Linked DNA regions of Caenorhabditis elegans. The protein of the gene in region 2 interacts with the protein of the main gene of each other region in a biochemical or structural test. Each region holds a gene or a part of one and is shown on either strand. Other genes may lie near its edges. The genes, in order: mes-2 and mes-6.

Region 1 (7,140 bases), on a different chromosome or scaffold from region 2:
GACGACGAAGAAGACGATGAAGATGTGGAGGAGGATGGACAAGAAGCAGAAGCTCTCCGATTCAAAGTTTTCGGGCAAAATTCTCCATTTGGATTCACCTCGCAATCGTGATGAATTTTCCACGCGATGAACTTGTCCAGGTACACATTTCTATAATTGGAATTTTTCTATAATATTTGGAACATTTTTATCTCTGACAACCCGGATGCAATGGGGCCTGCCTACAATCGACGCCTTTTCTCTGTCTTCCCTGGATTTTGGATCTCGCTGCAAACTTTCTCGCAGCTTTCGGAATGCCAAGCTTCACGCAAATCTCGTACGTTGGATCGATCTGGCAAAATGTTTTGAGTTTCTCAGGAATTACGGCCGGTGGTTCGATTAAGCTTCTGCTACTGGAATTTTTGTCATTTTCAGATTTTCCTGCAGAAAAAAATCCAACTTACGTTTCCGAAGCCTCCAGCAGCATGGGAAATAAGAAAAATAAGAAGAAAATCACCATCTTTAAGGAAGAAGTGAAAAAATTGTGCTGTGTCGGGCGATTTTATAGGAGGAATTTTGATTCGATTATATTTATGGTTTTCAGAAATTTGAAGGAAGGAAAATGTATTCAGAAACATGAGATTCTAGGGAAATAACAGTTAAACAAGTAGATCTTGAGATTTGAAAGTGATATCAACGGGAAAAATTTAAGAAAAAAAGTCAAGAAAAAAGATTATTCAGAAGTCATTGGTTTGGAGAGTTTCTGGCTTTTGGGCCTGCTGGGCTTCTCGGATCTCTCCTTGGTTTGGACCATCCTGGAAAAAGTTTATTCAAAAAGTCAAGTTGAAAGTCTACACAAAACTGGTTCTCGAAGCGACCGAAAATTTGCAGCTACCGTAACCAACCACAATTTTCTACGGCTTATCATGATTTTTTTGATCCAAAAAAATCTTTGTGTTATAAATTTTTAAAAATTGAGTGGAAAAAACTAGAGGGTACGGTAGCTGCAGTCGTCTCGAGACCCGAAAAGCTTTTTGCAAAATCTACCTGAACGCTATCTGATGTTCTCCAGAATAACTGTAGTCAAATGTGAGCTCTTCACTAATCTCAAGCCGTCTCTTCGCATAGAACCCAATTCGGTGCTCTCCGGCGACAACCATCGTTCTCGCGTAGCACGTCGGATTCTTGCTGTCATGATTGGCAAATCGTGCCAAGTTTCCAATTTTGTACGAATCGATCGCACCCCCGGTTTCAATGTCTGCAAAAATATTTTTTTTTGTTCCGAAAAATTGAATTTTCAAAAAAAAAGAAAACTTTTGATGGTTTTTTTTTTCGATATTTTGTTAATTTTTTGAAATAATTTTTTCTTATTTATTTGATTTTCAAAAAATCGAAATGTTGTCTCTAAAAACCCAAAAAAAATTTAAATTTAAAACATTTTTCTGCGACACCGTGATCTAAAAAAAGTACATACTAAAAATGTAGCTGCACTGATATCGATCATATATCGCACCGCGTCGTTCGGCTTCATCATCGGAAATTCGTTCACCAGTGTATTCCGTAATGAACTCGTCTTTTTCGGCGGGTTCCAACAAGAAAAGTCCATTGCCTGCTATTTTCGATGGCCCGCAATACGTTCGTTTTTGGATCATTCTAGTCATTCCAAAATTGCGGCATTTTATTATGTTCGAGTCGATGGCGTCGCATCTGAATTTGTTTTTAAATTGAGAATTTTCAGGTACAAAATTCGATTTTTCTGTGCTATTTTGATTTTATATACCTTTTTTTAAATTTGGGATTTTGATTGAAGATTTTTAATGGACATTTGGTCCTTCTTTTTCGAGAAATTTTCAGTTCGATCAATTTTTTTTGGAAAGTTTAATTTTTTCCTTTCTTAAAATTTCCATTTCTGGAAGTTCTGAAAAATTAAAGCTTACTAAAAAAACTTTTCAAAAAATTCCTGTGCACTCACTTGCACATATTACACGTCATCGGATTACATTCCCAATTGGCTCGATAGCACTGGCAAGCCTTCGTGTAGCACTGACCGGCGGCGCAATTGCATCCCGGGAATCGCTGAGAACAGTTTATATCGCATTTGCACATGTACGAGCACACTCCGTTTTCACGACATGCACAATTTTCGGCTGTCGCGTTGCATGGGCCTGAAATGTTTAAAAATTAATTTTCAATTAATGGGGTTATTAATGCGATGTAGTAAAATGTGCAAAAATGTGTTTTCATTCATTTGTGTCCAATAAATACATGTGTGTCCAATAAATACAAAAAAATATTCGTTTTCTGCATTTTTCGACATCGGTCGACAGCCCACTTCACATGCTGAAGGCGAGAGACGCAGAGAGATATGCACCCGCGGGTTTTCTCTGCGTGTCTCGCCTTCAGCATGAGAAGTGGGATGTCGCCCAATGTCGAAAAATGCAGGAAATGCCGAAAAATGTCGAAAAATGCAAAAAATTAATGCTACATTGTTCGATGCACATGGGTAGGTGAAAAATGTATAAAAACAAATTATTGCATTTTTCTACATTTCACGAATAACCCCATAATTGTTTTCCATTCCTCACCCGCATGTCGACACGCTGTGATTGGCGTCACCGCGGTCATGCGAACTTTCTCGCTATTTCGCTGAGAATCACGCATATCATCTTCTCGAATCAATTTTTCCGCATCCAGACCATCTCTCAATGCTTGAATACGCAGACTGTCGTGACGCAGCTTACGCTTCGCCTTCTCCTGACTCAACTGATTACGACGGAAGTTGTTGACTCGATCCTTGATACTTCTGAAACAATTCAATTTTTTATATAAAAAATCGCGTCAACTGACAATCTATTCGACGGTTGTCCCATTTTAAGTCGTCGGGCGCTCACATTTTCTGCCATCGACATCATTAGATGATATGCGTCACGACATGAACGAATTTTGCTTTCCTCGTCGTCTTCGTCGACATATTTTTTGACAAACTCGCAGAATGGCTGAGAATGGATTTTTTGCATTTTAAGCTATAAAGCTCGATTTTGCACCCTTTTTTCCTATTTTTCGCTATTTTTTGTTTAAAATAGTTTGATTTACATAATATACAAACTCTTAAACGCAAAATGAAAAACAAAATAACGAAAAAGGTGCAAAATCAAGCTTTATAGCTTTAAAAAAAAGAGAAAACTTGCGAGAAATTAATTTCACTGGAAATATAATTTTTCAATAAAAATGTTTCGGAGGGATCATCTCAGACCTCCAACTATCGCATGACACTATTTTTATTCCGAATTCAGGAATAGTTTTTGAACTCTTCCCTTGTTAGAAAAATTATTGAAAATTTAAAATTACAGTACTCTTCAAAGACGCACGCCTTTTCGCATTTAACAAAAATTTGTCGCGTCGAGGCCAGGTTTTGGCGCAAAAATCGCGTACTCTTACAATATATGTATTGAACACGTAAATGTTCACAATGAGCGCTCCATCTTCAATCGGCATCTTTGCAATTCTTGATTTCATGAAATAAATCTTCACTTCTTTCTGCAGAATTTCTTCAGAATCCGGCACAAGAACTTCTGAAACTTCTTTCATCGTCACCGATTTCCAGCAATTTCCAGAACACATCTTTCCATCATTTTCCGGGTTATTTGGCAGCGGAAGCATCGCATTATAGAATTCACCATTCGGAAACTCGATTGGAATTTCGGCTTTGAATCCGTGAATCGCACATGTATATGCGAGGCACGCGTAACACGTCGGATTTCGAAGATTTTGAGCACCTTCAGCGATTTTTGTCTTCTTCCATGGTTCGAGGCTCGACGGATCGAATCCTTTTTCAGCAAAGTTCTCGCACAAAACGGGAAAAGCCGACGAAAATTCTCTCTGTGAACTTTTGTTTGGCCATAGACGGTAGAGGGTGTAGTAGAATACGTCTGGGCTGCCTTGGTAGTCTTTGAGCGCAGCACGGCATAGTTTGTAGAGTATCCAATCATTGACATAGGACCAGTTGTCTGAAAAATTTAACATCAATTCGCTTAAAAAATACCTGGAGCTAAGGATTTGCAAGATTGTCCCGAGGTTTGATGCATGTCGATTTATGAAACATTTAGAACTACACGTGGACAAGTGGGAACTTGTTTTTCGCATTTTTCACTTTCAAGGCTATTTTTTAAAACTAATTTTGTGTTTGACATTCAAAATGACATTAATTGAAATAAAATTTCAAAAAAATTTTACGGCGATTTCTCACTGAAAAGTGAGAAATTAGGCAATTTGAATGTAAAATGTAAAAATAAATAGAAATAATGGTACCTTCGTCCCGCCTGTTTTTTTTTCGATTTTTGGGGGTTTCTCAGAGAAAATGGAAAAAATCCGGTATTTTGCAATTTCTCACCCGAAAATCCATGAATTCCATCTGGGAACATATCAATCAAATGCTCATAGATATTCCCATCGTCAATACCATCGCCAAAATACGGCATATGCGTGAGCCGCAGCTGATCCGGAGTCGCCACACTTTGCTCGATTGGAACCCAGTATATCATTGGCGGGGAAATGTCGCCAACCTCGATACGTGAACACGGAGCACGAAACTTCTTCATCAAATCTCCTTCCTCCGTTCGATCCGGTTTGATCCATGTAACTGTGGAATCGGAGACTTTGTAGTCGTTTTCTTCGTATTTTTCACAGTTTTTGAATGAAAATTTTGCGATAGTTCTGCCCTCTCCTAAATTTTCTTGCAGCCTTCTGCGATATTCATTAACACTGCTGCTCGCATCCTTCAACCAATCTTTGATGTCTGTGTCCAGCTCGTCTTTTACTCGAATGTCATAGTCATCTTTGATAGCATTGAAGTGGCCTTTAAGCATACGTTTACATTCTTCAATTCCTTGTTCGCACACGGTCTCCTTGATTTTTTCAGATGAAAAAATTGGCTGAATTTTCACAAAGCGAGGCAAATTTTTCGATTTCTTCGATTTTCCCATAGAAGTTTCGCACTTTTTCCCGCGCTTCTTTGTTTTTCCTGAGGGAGTTGATGTGCTGGGCTCTGAGTTGCTCATTCTGAAAGAATATTGCGTTTTAAAAAGGGAGAAAATTGTATTAAGACGAAAAAGACGAGAGAATAAATCGAAAACAAACAATTTTTAATTTTTAAAAACATTGCAAGTGTTGCGTGCAATCGCGCCCTATTGATAATGTGAAGTTGGCGCGAAGGTTTGGAATTTGAATCTGACAAGGAAAACCAAATGCTTTTTGCAAAATATGTTACCCAGGCGCGAAGTTCTGCCATTTTTATGCTAAAAATACGGTGCCAGGTCTCAACACAGCAATTTTTTGTTAAATGCGAAAATATATGCACCCTTTAAAAAAGTACATAAAAGTCAAATTTTCGTGGCCGCGGAGTTTTCATCGAATTTTTTCCGATCGCAATATATTAAAAAGCTTATATTAAATATAGAAAAAAAATCAATAAATTTTCGAAAAAAGGATTTAGGAAAACCTACTTATAAAAAAATCGATGAAAATTCCTGAGAGTTTGCAATTATGTCTTTAAAGGCACACACCTTTTTGCATTTAACCAAAATTGGTTTTGGTGAGACCGGGTACCGTAATATTTGCAAAATTTTGCATACTAACTATTACTAGTAAGGCTGAATAATTCCAAGAACAATTTTATTTGAACTTTGGAAAAATTACAAAAAAAATTTTTAAGAAAATTAAATCTATTATTGACGCGGTTCCATGCTCCGAATCTTCACCAGTAGCTCATTGATCTCTTCAGTTCGATATGGAAGATTCAGTAGAGTATTCTCCACCGCAAACTCGACAAATCGCTCCCGTGAAATATTGCAATTCAGTAGCAACTCAACGGCTCCGTGAACCTGAAAAATATTATTTTGAAAATAGAGAAAAACATCAGAGGTAAACTCACAAATCCATCGTCTTGCTTCAAGAATCCCATCATCAAAGACATGAGCACTGGCCATGCTTCTTCTCCTTCTTCCATTCCGTTCACAGCTTTTTTCACCTCCCGGAAAGCTTCAATATGCTGGGAATTCAATGTGGACTCCTCAATTAGCTCGATCTCATCAAATAGTTGTGAAGCAGCTGAGATCTTACGAGGAAGAGCTCGGATCAGTGATTGGATCTCGTATTTTCTGTAAAGTGCCAGTGGAAACCGGTGCTCTTGGTGGTGGATTATGGCTCTTGTGATCTGAAATATCATATTATAATTTAAATTGTAAAAATTAATCTATAACTCACCACTCGTCGATTCCCAGTCTTAATTGATTGCACCAGGTGCACCATGAGAACTTCCCAAAGGGCCCACTCATAATTCTCCATCATTTTGTAGTGCCCTTCCTCTTGATCACCATGCAAGTGGAGATTATCGAGAAGTTTTGGGAGCAGCTCTGTCTGATCGAAATTATCCATTTCGAGATTTGGGATCTAAAATGGAAAATTAATAGTTACCCTAAACTTTTCTTTGAAAAAAAACATGCATCTTGATCCAGCAACGACTCGTCTGACAGCTCCCGTCGCAATTGTTCAATTTTTCGCACCAACTCGTCTGCTTCAACAAATCTGTACTGGAACTGAGCAGCAGTCTCGTGCACTCTATAGTACTCGAAATCCGCAAGTGATAGCTCCAATGCACCGAGAAGTTTGAAGGCACATTTTACCTGAAAACCATAATTGTTTTTGAATTCCCGCTGAAATTAGTGACCATTTAACTTACAAGAGCCAAATCATCGAAACACATCATATCAGTGAGAAGCTTCAAAACATGGTCCGGGACAAATGTTCCACCAAAATCGTACAATGTTCCGTATGTGAAATACTTTACAATTTTGGCCTTTTCCCTTTGCATGCTTGCGTTCCTCCATTTTCTGATCCTTCTGGCAAAGTCGGTGGCCGGCGCTAAGTTCGGGACAAATTGATCGATCAGACATGCGATGTTGCACTTGTCCAGGATTTCGACGGTAAAGGGGACTTCCGGCAACGTTTTCAAGACTTCTTGGATCTGAAATTTCATATTTGGATTTTGAGTATATGTAGTAGTTAGCAGGGCTGTGCGGCTGTCGGCTTCAGCCGATAACCCAATTTTTCTACAAGCCGCACAGCCCCGGAAGGTAGGGCTAAAGAAAATCAACGGGAATTTAA
Region 2 (4,760 bases):
TAAGCTTGGAAACATCCTTGGTGACATGAACGTGACGGTACTCGAACTCATCATCTTCGTATTTGTTTGAATAGTAGAAATCATTGTTTCCAGTTGTCATTTTGTTGGTTGGCGTGAGAAGGTGCGACTCTGAAATAATTCATTTTATTAACAAGCATCGGGAAATAGAAACGGACAAAAATAAGGAAAGAATAAAAAATATTGAAAAAAAAGAGAAGAATGGGAATGAGACAAGAGTGAGAATGGTGAGGAACACTGCATGTACAGACAAATCGATAAATGCTCATTGCTGACGCTGTCTGAATTGATCGATAACATCAACAGAGTCGAGTTTCCCGCGTGTTTCAAAATACTCGTCCTTTGACATTGGAATTTGACAGTGCTTGGTTGACCCAGCAGAGGAAGATGATCTGAAATAAAAAAGGTAATAACATGAAAGCTAATAAAATTTTCAAAACTCACTGAACATTCAAAAACGTCTTCTTTTTGTCACTTTGTAAGTTGCTGTCGACTGTCACTGAATTAGAAAAATTAGATAATCAGAAAACGAAAATAATCTCTTCGAAACTCACACATAAAGCTATGTTTAGGTGAAGAATAATCCTTAGAGGAGGTTGGGGATGACATTAGGAACTGCAAAATTGTAATGTAAAATCCACTGAAGATGATCGAAGATGAAATCACAACGAGATATAAAAAATTGAAGGTGAGAAGGAATGATATTCAAAATTTTGCCAGGTCCTTAGCGTCGACAGACGCAGATACACGATCAAATCGACAAACAAATCCTTCGTCAGTTACTAGTACTAGGAATCGGCCACATGTAGAGAAAGAAGCTTGCCGAACTGTACGTGAGCCAACGGAACAAGTGTGAGTCCTGTAAAAAAAAAAACAGGAATTTATACTGGTAATCACAGCAAAAATATTTCTATAATTTTTAAGAGATATCGAACATCTCAGAAATTATTTTTCTTGATATTTTACTTACGGATTGGTTTCTTCATTATTTCTCAAATCGAAAAACATCACAGAACCACCAGCTCCACCGCACACCAGCCATCGTCTTCTTGGATCAACGGCGAATTTGATAAACCATGCAGAACCACTCGGAACATTCATTGTACGAAATTTCGTTGTACACGACTTTGGACGGAGAACATTTCCATGAATGCGATTTTCAACTTCTCCCTTAGGTGGCCCAAATCTCCAAAAATGAATTGCCTTTTCATTGCCACATCCTTTTGATAGTGCGTAGTTAGTACCGATAAGAAATCGAATGCAATCCACATAATCAGAATGCATATCAGTTGATACGGAGGATGGAGTATAAATTGGAAGAAGGCAGCTCCTGAAAAAGAAGAAAACGATAGAACCAGATTCGTTGAAACAACTTTAAAAAAGTAATGGATGCCGAAAATCAACGTACGGTCGGGGTATGAGCTCTCTGTGAAGTTCGAGCAATTGATCTTCTTCTTTGTCGGGAATGTTGCGAGAAACTGCAGACTTTCTAAAAATACAAAAATGAATTACATTATGATTTGATAGCCCTGGTCTCTTTATTTACCAGTCTTTTATCCAAAACTCAAGTTTCAAAAATATTTTTATATACAACAACAGCAACAATTTTCGCGTTAAGGACTGATCAAATACTAGAAGGAACTAGAAAATGTTAGCTGAATAATTGATTTACCTCATTGTTCCTTTCGAAACATACGGAATATCTTGTGATTGTGTTAGCACATTTATTTTATCTTGGTGAAGAGCTTTGCACGCTCGTTCCAAATGTTCCTTTACTTGTTTCACAGATAAATCCCACTCCATGAGTTGATGATCGAATCCACACGATAAAATGAAGTCTCCGTCGGTTGACCAATCCTAAAATGAGAAATTCGAAACGTAAGTAAATTTAATAAACCAACCACAGAAAGAATTGTTCCAGCATGACACTCGAGACCCCCAATAACAATCAGACATGCTTCGTTTCGAATATGATGAATCCGGATAGATTGATCTGATGAAGCACAGACAATCAGATTTGAGTTGGCAGGACACGTACGAATGTCATTGATTTCCCATCCAACACTCCGAAGACGCTAAAACTCCAAATTATTTCAGTAATTTTTGATTATTTACATTCGACAGCTTCCTCGAGACGTAGTCGATAACGTAAATGTGACCCAAAGTTCCACCCGTTACAACTTTAAAGGGATTTCGGTCGTTTTCAGCTTCATATGTGTCGTAACACCAGGTAACAGTGAAGAGCGACTCCTCTCGTTCGACCTTTGATGATTTATCGGTAGGAAAATTACAAGACCACTGCAGCTCAATGTTATTTATGTCGATGGGAACAGAATACATGTGAAGCTGAAAAACAAATATTTATACCTCATTGTCAGTTTCCTGCTAAATAACGCTTACAAAGCTTCCTCCGACAGTTGCAACCGCTTGTTCCTCATCTATTCCTGCGTATTGATTGAATGCACATCCGTAAATAGCTTTCTTCTGATCTTCAAGTAGCTTGGCAGTTAGTACAAAAGGTCGTTTTCCGTAATCCTCTGTACTTCGATCAAACCCGTGAAGATTTAATGATTTGAACTTTTTCGTGTGCTCCATTCAGGTTTTTGGGAAAAAGGCAAGAAACAATATATAACAAAATAAAAACTTCACAGTAAAAACATAAAAAAGTCGATTAACTATCAAATTTGCAGTGAAAAAGGAAAAAAATGACAATAAAAACAACAGAAAAACTAAAATATGGCCGCTCGCGCGCATTTCTCGTTCAAATTGCATTAGTGGTGAAAAGCGCGGCGAGACCCAACGAGCGCATAACCTCATGCACCTTTAAAGTGTTATTTTTTTATTACAATTTTTTGTTCTCATTTTGGATTCTGTTCGAAAGTTCCGGGAGGTATTTGTGATTTCGATTGGGAATATGATAGAAAAGACAGTTGCCAGCTTAAATTTTGTATTGTCGTGAAGTACCACTTCCAATTTCGGAGTGGATTCGAACGGGATTAAGTAGATTTTGTACTCGGCTTTTTTCGCAAGGAGCGAAACTAATAATTTTGTATATTTTTTTTGTATGATCCTATATTGCTACGTGAGCTATTGTCAGTTAAAAAAAATGTTTTTGTGGTCTTTTTCAGATTTCAGAGCGATCAACTTGGGGGTATTCATTCATATTTATTATTTAGTAAAATTGTCCTTATATCAAAAGATCCACTTTGTGAATTCCGTAGACTTCTTTCATTTTTGCTATTTCGAATTTGTCTTCGTCGGCTGCTGACTCATCCATATCCCTGCGTCTCCAATGCCTGATTCTCTGCGTCTTGTGTGATTTTTTGTTGCTTCAACCTGTTCTTCTAGCGGTTGCCTTTTTCTCATGCTGTGACTGTTCCCGTTCATTACTAATTCTTAATTTCATAATATTTTAGTGTTATCGTTTTTTCTTCAATTTTTTAGCCAAAATGTTATCTCGAACGAGCTATAGTTATTTTCAGATCGCCTGTATGAAATATGACATGAACCATCGCAAAAATTCTGATGATACTCCACCGGCGTCTAGGACCGTCAAAGAAATGATGGCAGAGTTTCAAAATAAACTGGACGACGGAGACAACAGATTCCGGAAGCAACCACCACCGCCACCTTGTGAGTCTGAAACAGAGAAGACGTCTTGTATTTACTGTCGACAATTGATTGAGGCGTAGCAAAAAACTTCGTTTGCTTTGTTATCTGTGGAGAAAATAAAAGTTACGAAATTTCTTGAAAAAAAAAACTAAAAAATAATTTTTTTAAAAACTATTTATGTCTGTATTTATTGATAATAACTAAATAGATCATATGATCATAGTATTGAAAAAGAGAGAACCGAAAATCGGGTTGACAATGATTCTGTGAGTTAAAAAAAACAGTCAATTTTTCGAAAAAAAAATCTGCCTTAAACTCCACCAACAGTGAATCGAATTAATTTTTAAAGGAAATTAAGTTCTCATTTCAATTTATATATTCGTTGTTAGAATCTAGACGAAAATTCATAAATATTTTGTTACTATCATTTTTTTTTCTATTAACTTTTACAATATCGTAGAACAACTGATTTCCGTGTTAAAATTGTTTTTTGACTGTTCTTCTTCCTATTGCTTTTTGTTAACGAAAAATGCCCAATTTTCTTCAAAGTTCCTATCAAATCTGTACAGACGCGTGACCGATTGCGAAAGTAGTCAAAAAGAAGTATAAAGGCTTTTCGCAATATTGTTTGCCTAAAGGTGCCACTTGACAGATTTTACTCCTTTGTCGCCAAGAAGTGTACTAGTAATAAATTTTAGAAAATTGGGTTGTGTCCTTATATTAATTACTTGGATTATCGCCAACATTTGATTAAAATAGTCATTCTTGTGTGAACACTTGCCAAAAATATATTCACTATTTAACTTCTGTTGGTATTATTGTTCCACCCCCCGGAAGTGACCAATTTTCCGTCTGCCACTGTGTGTGCCTAGTGGTATGACTCATTTATTGAAAGAAAAACAATTATTTTATCATCTCTCAAAATGAGTGAAGCAGATACAATTACAGCAATTAGATAGTTTAAATATACCTATGAGGTTAACAGATTGGAAGATTCATTTTTAAAACAATTTTGCAGCCCCAAGACGAGCTCCACCACCGCCTCCTCATCGGAAACCTGCATCATTATCTCCACCTCCAGACGATGAGAATACAATTCGACCGCCGTCTTCTTCAGAATCGTCCGAAAA

What was found.
Region 1: the proteins of mes-6 (region 2) and mes-2 form a complex in vitro, tested with the Caenorhabditis elegans proteins (2 studies listed by BioGRID, with this or other methods).

The regions. Positions count from the first base shown.
Region 1 is NC_003280.10:14,381,872-14,389,011, reverse strand, and holds mes-2 (Histone-lysine N-methyltransferase mes-2), read right to left. Parts: upstream 5,040-7,140; 5' UTR 5,037-5,039; coding exon 4,370-5,036; intron 3,987-4,369; coding exon 3,418-3,986; intron 2,976-3,417; coding exon 2,827-2,975; intron 2,783-2,826; coding exon 2,565-2,782; intron 2,145-2,564; coding exon 1,952-2,144; intron 1,687-1,951; coding exon 1,454-1,686; intron 1,238-1,453; coding exon 1,027-1,237; intron 795-1,026; coding exon 713-794; 3' UTR 558-712; downstream 1-557. Other genes in the region: F26H11.8 (uncharacterized protein), read right to left, coding at 188-392, 444-499; sdz-26 (SKN-1 Dependent Zygotic transcript), read right to left, coding at 5,703-5,858, 5,909-6,190, 6,241-6,426, 6,480-6,659, 6,716-7,000. UniProt on the Caenorhabditis elegans protein: Polycomb group (PcG) protein. Catalytic subunit of a the mes-2/mes-3/mes-6 complex, which methylates 'Lys-27' of histone H3, leading to transcriptional repression of the affected target genes.
Region 2 is NC_003282.8:8,509,290-8,514,049, reverse strand, and holds mes-6 (Polycomb protein mes-6), read right to left. Parts: upstream 2,767-4,760; 5' UTR 2,614-2,766; coding exon 2,419-2,613; intron 2,365-2,418; coding exon 2,134-2,364; intron 2,094-2,133; coding exon 1,920-2,093; intron 1,876-1,919; coding exon 1,691-1,875; intron 1,508-1,690; coding exon 1,427-1,507; intron 1,349-1,426; coding exon 989-1,348; intron 878-988; coding exon 724-877; 3' UTR 628-723; downstream 1-627. Other genes in the region: cks-1 (Cyclin-dependent kinases regulatory subunit), read right to left, coding at 1-100; C09G4.4 (uncharacterized protein), read right to left, coding at 284-410, 463-517, 573-627; FYVE, RhoGEF and PH domain-containing protein tag-77, read left to right, coding at 3,510-3,651, 4,649-4,760. UniProt on the Caenorhabditis elegans protein: Polycomb group (PcG) protein. PcG proteins act by forming multiprotein complexes, which are required to maintain the transcriptionally repressive state of homeotic genes throughout development.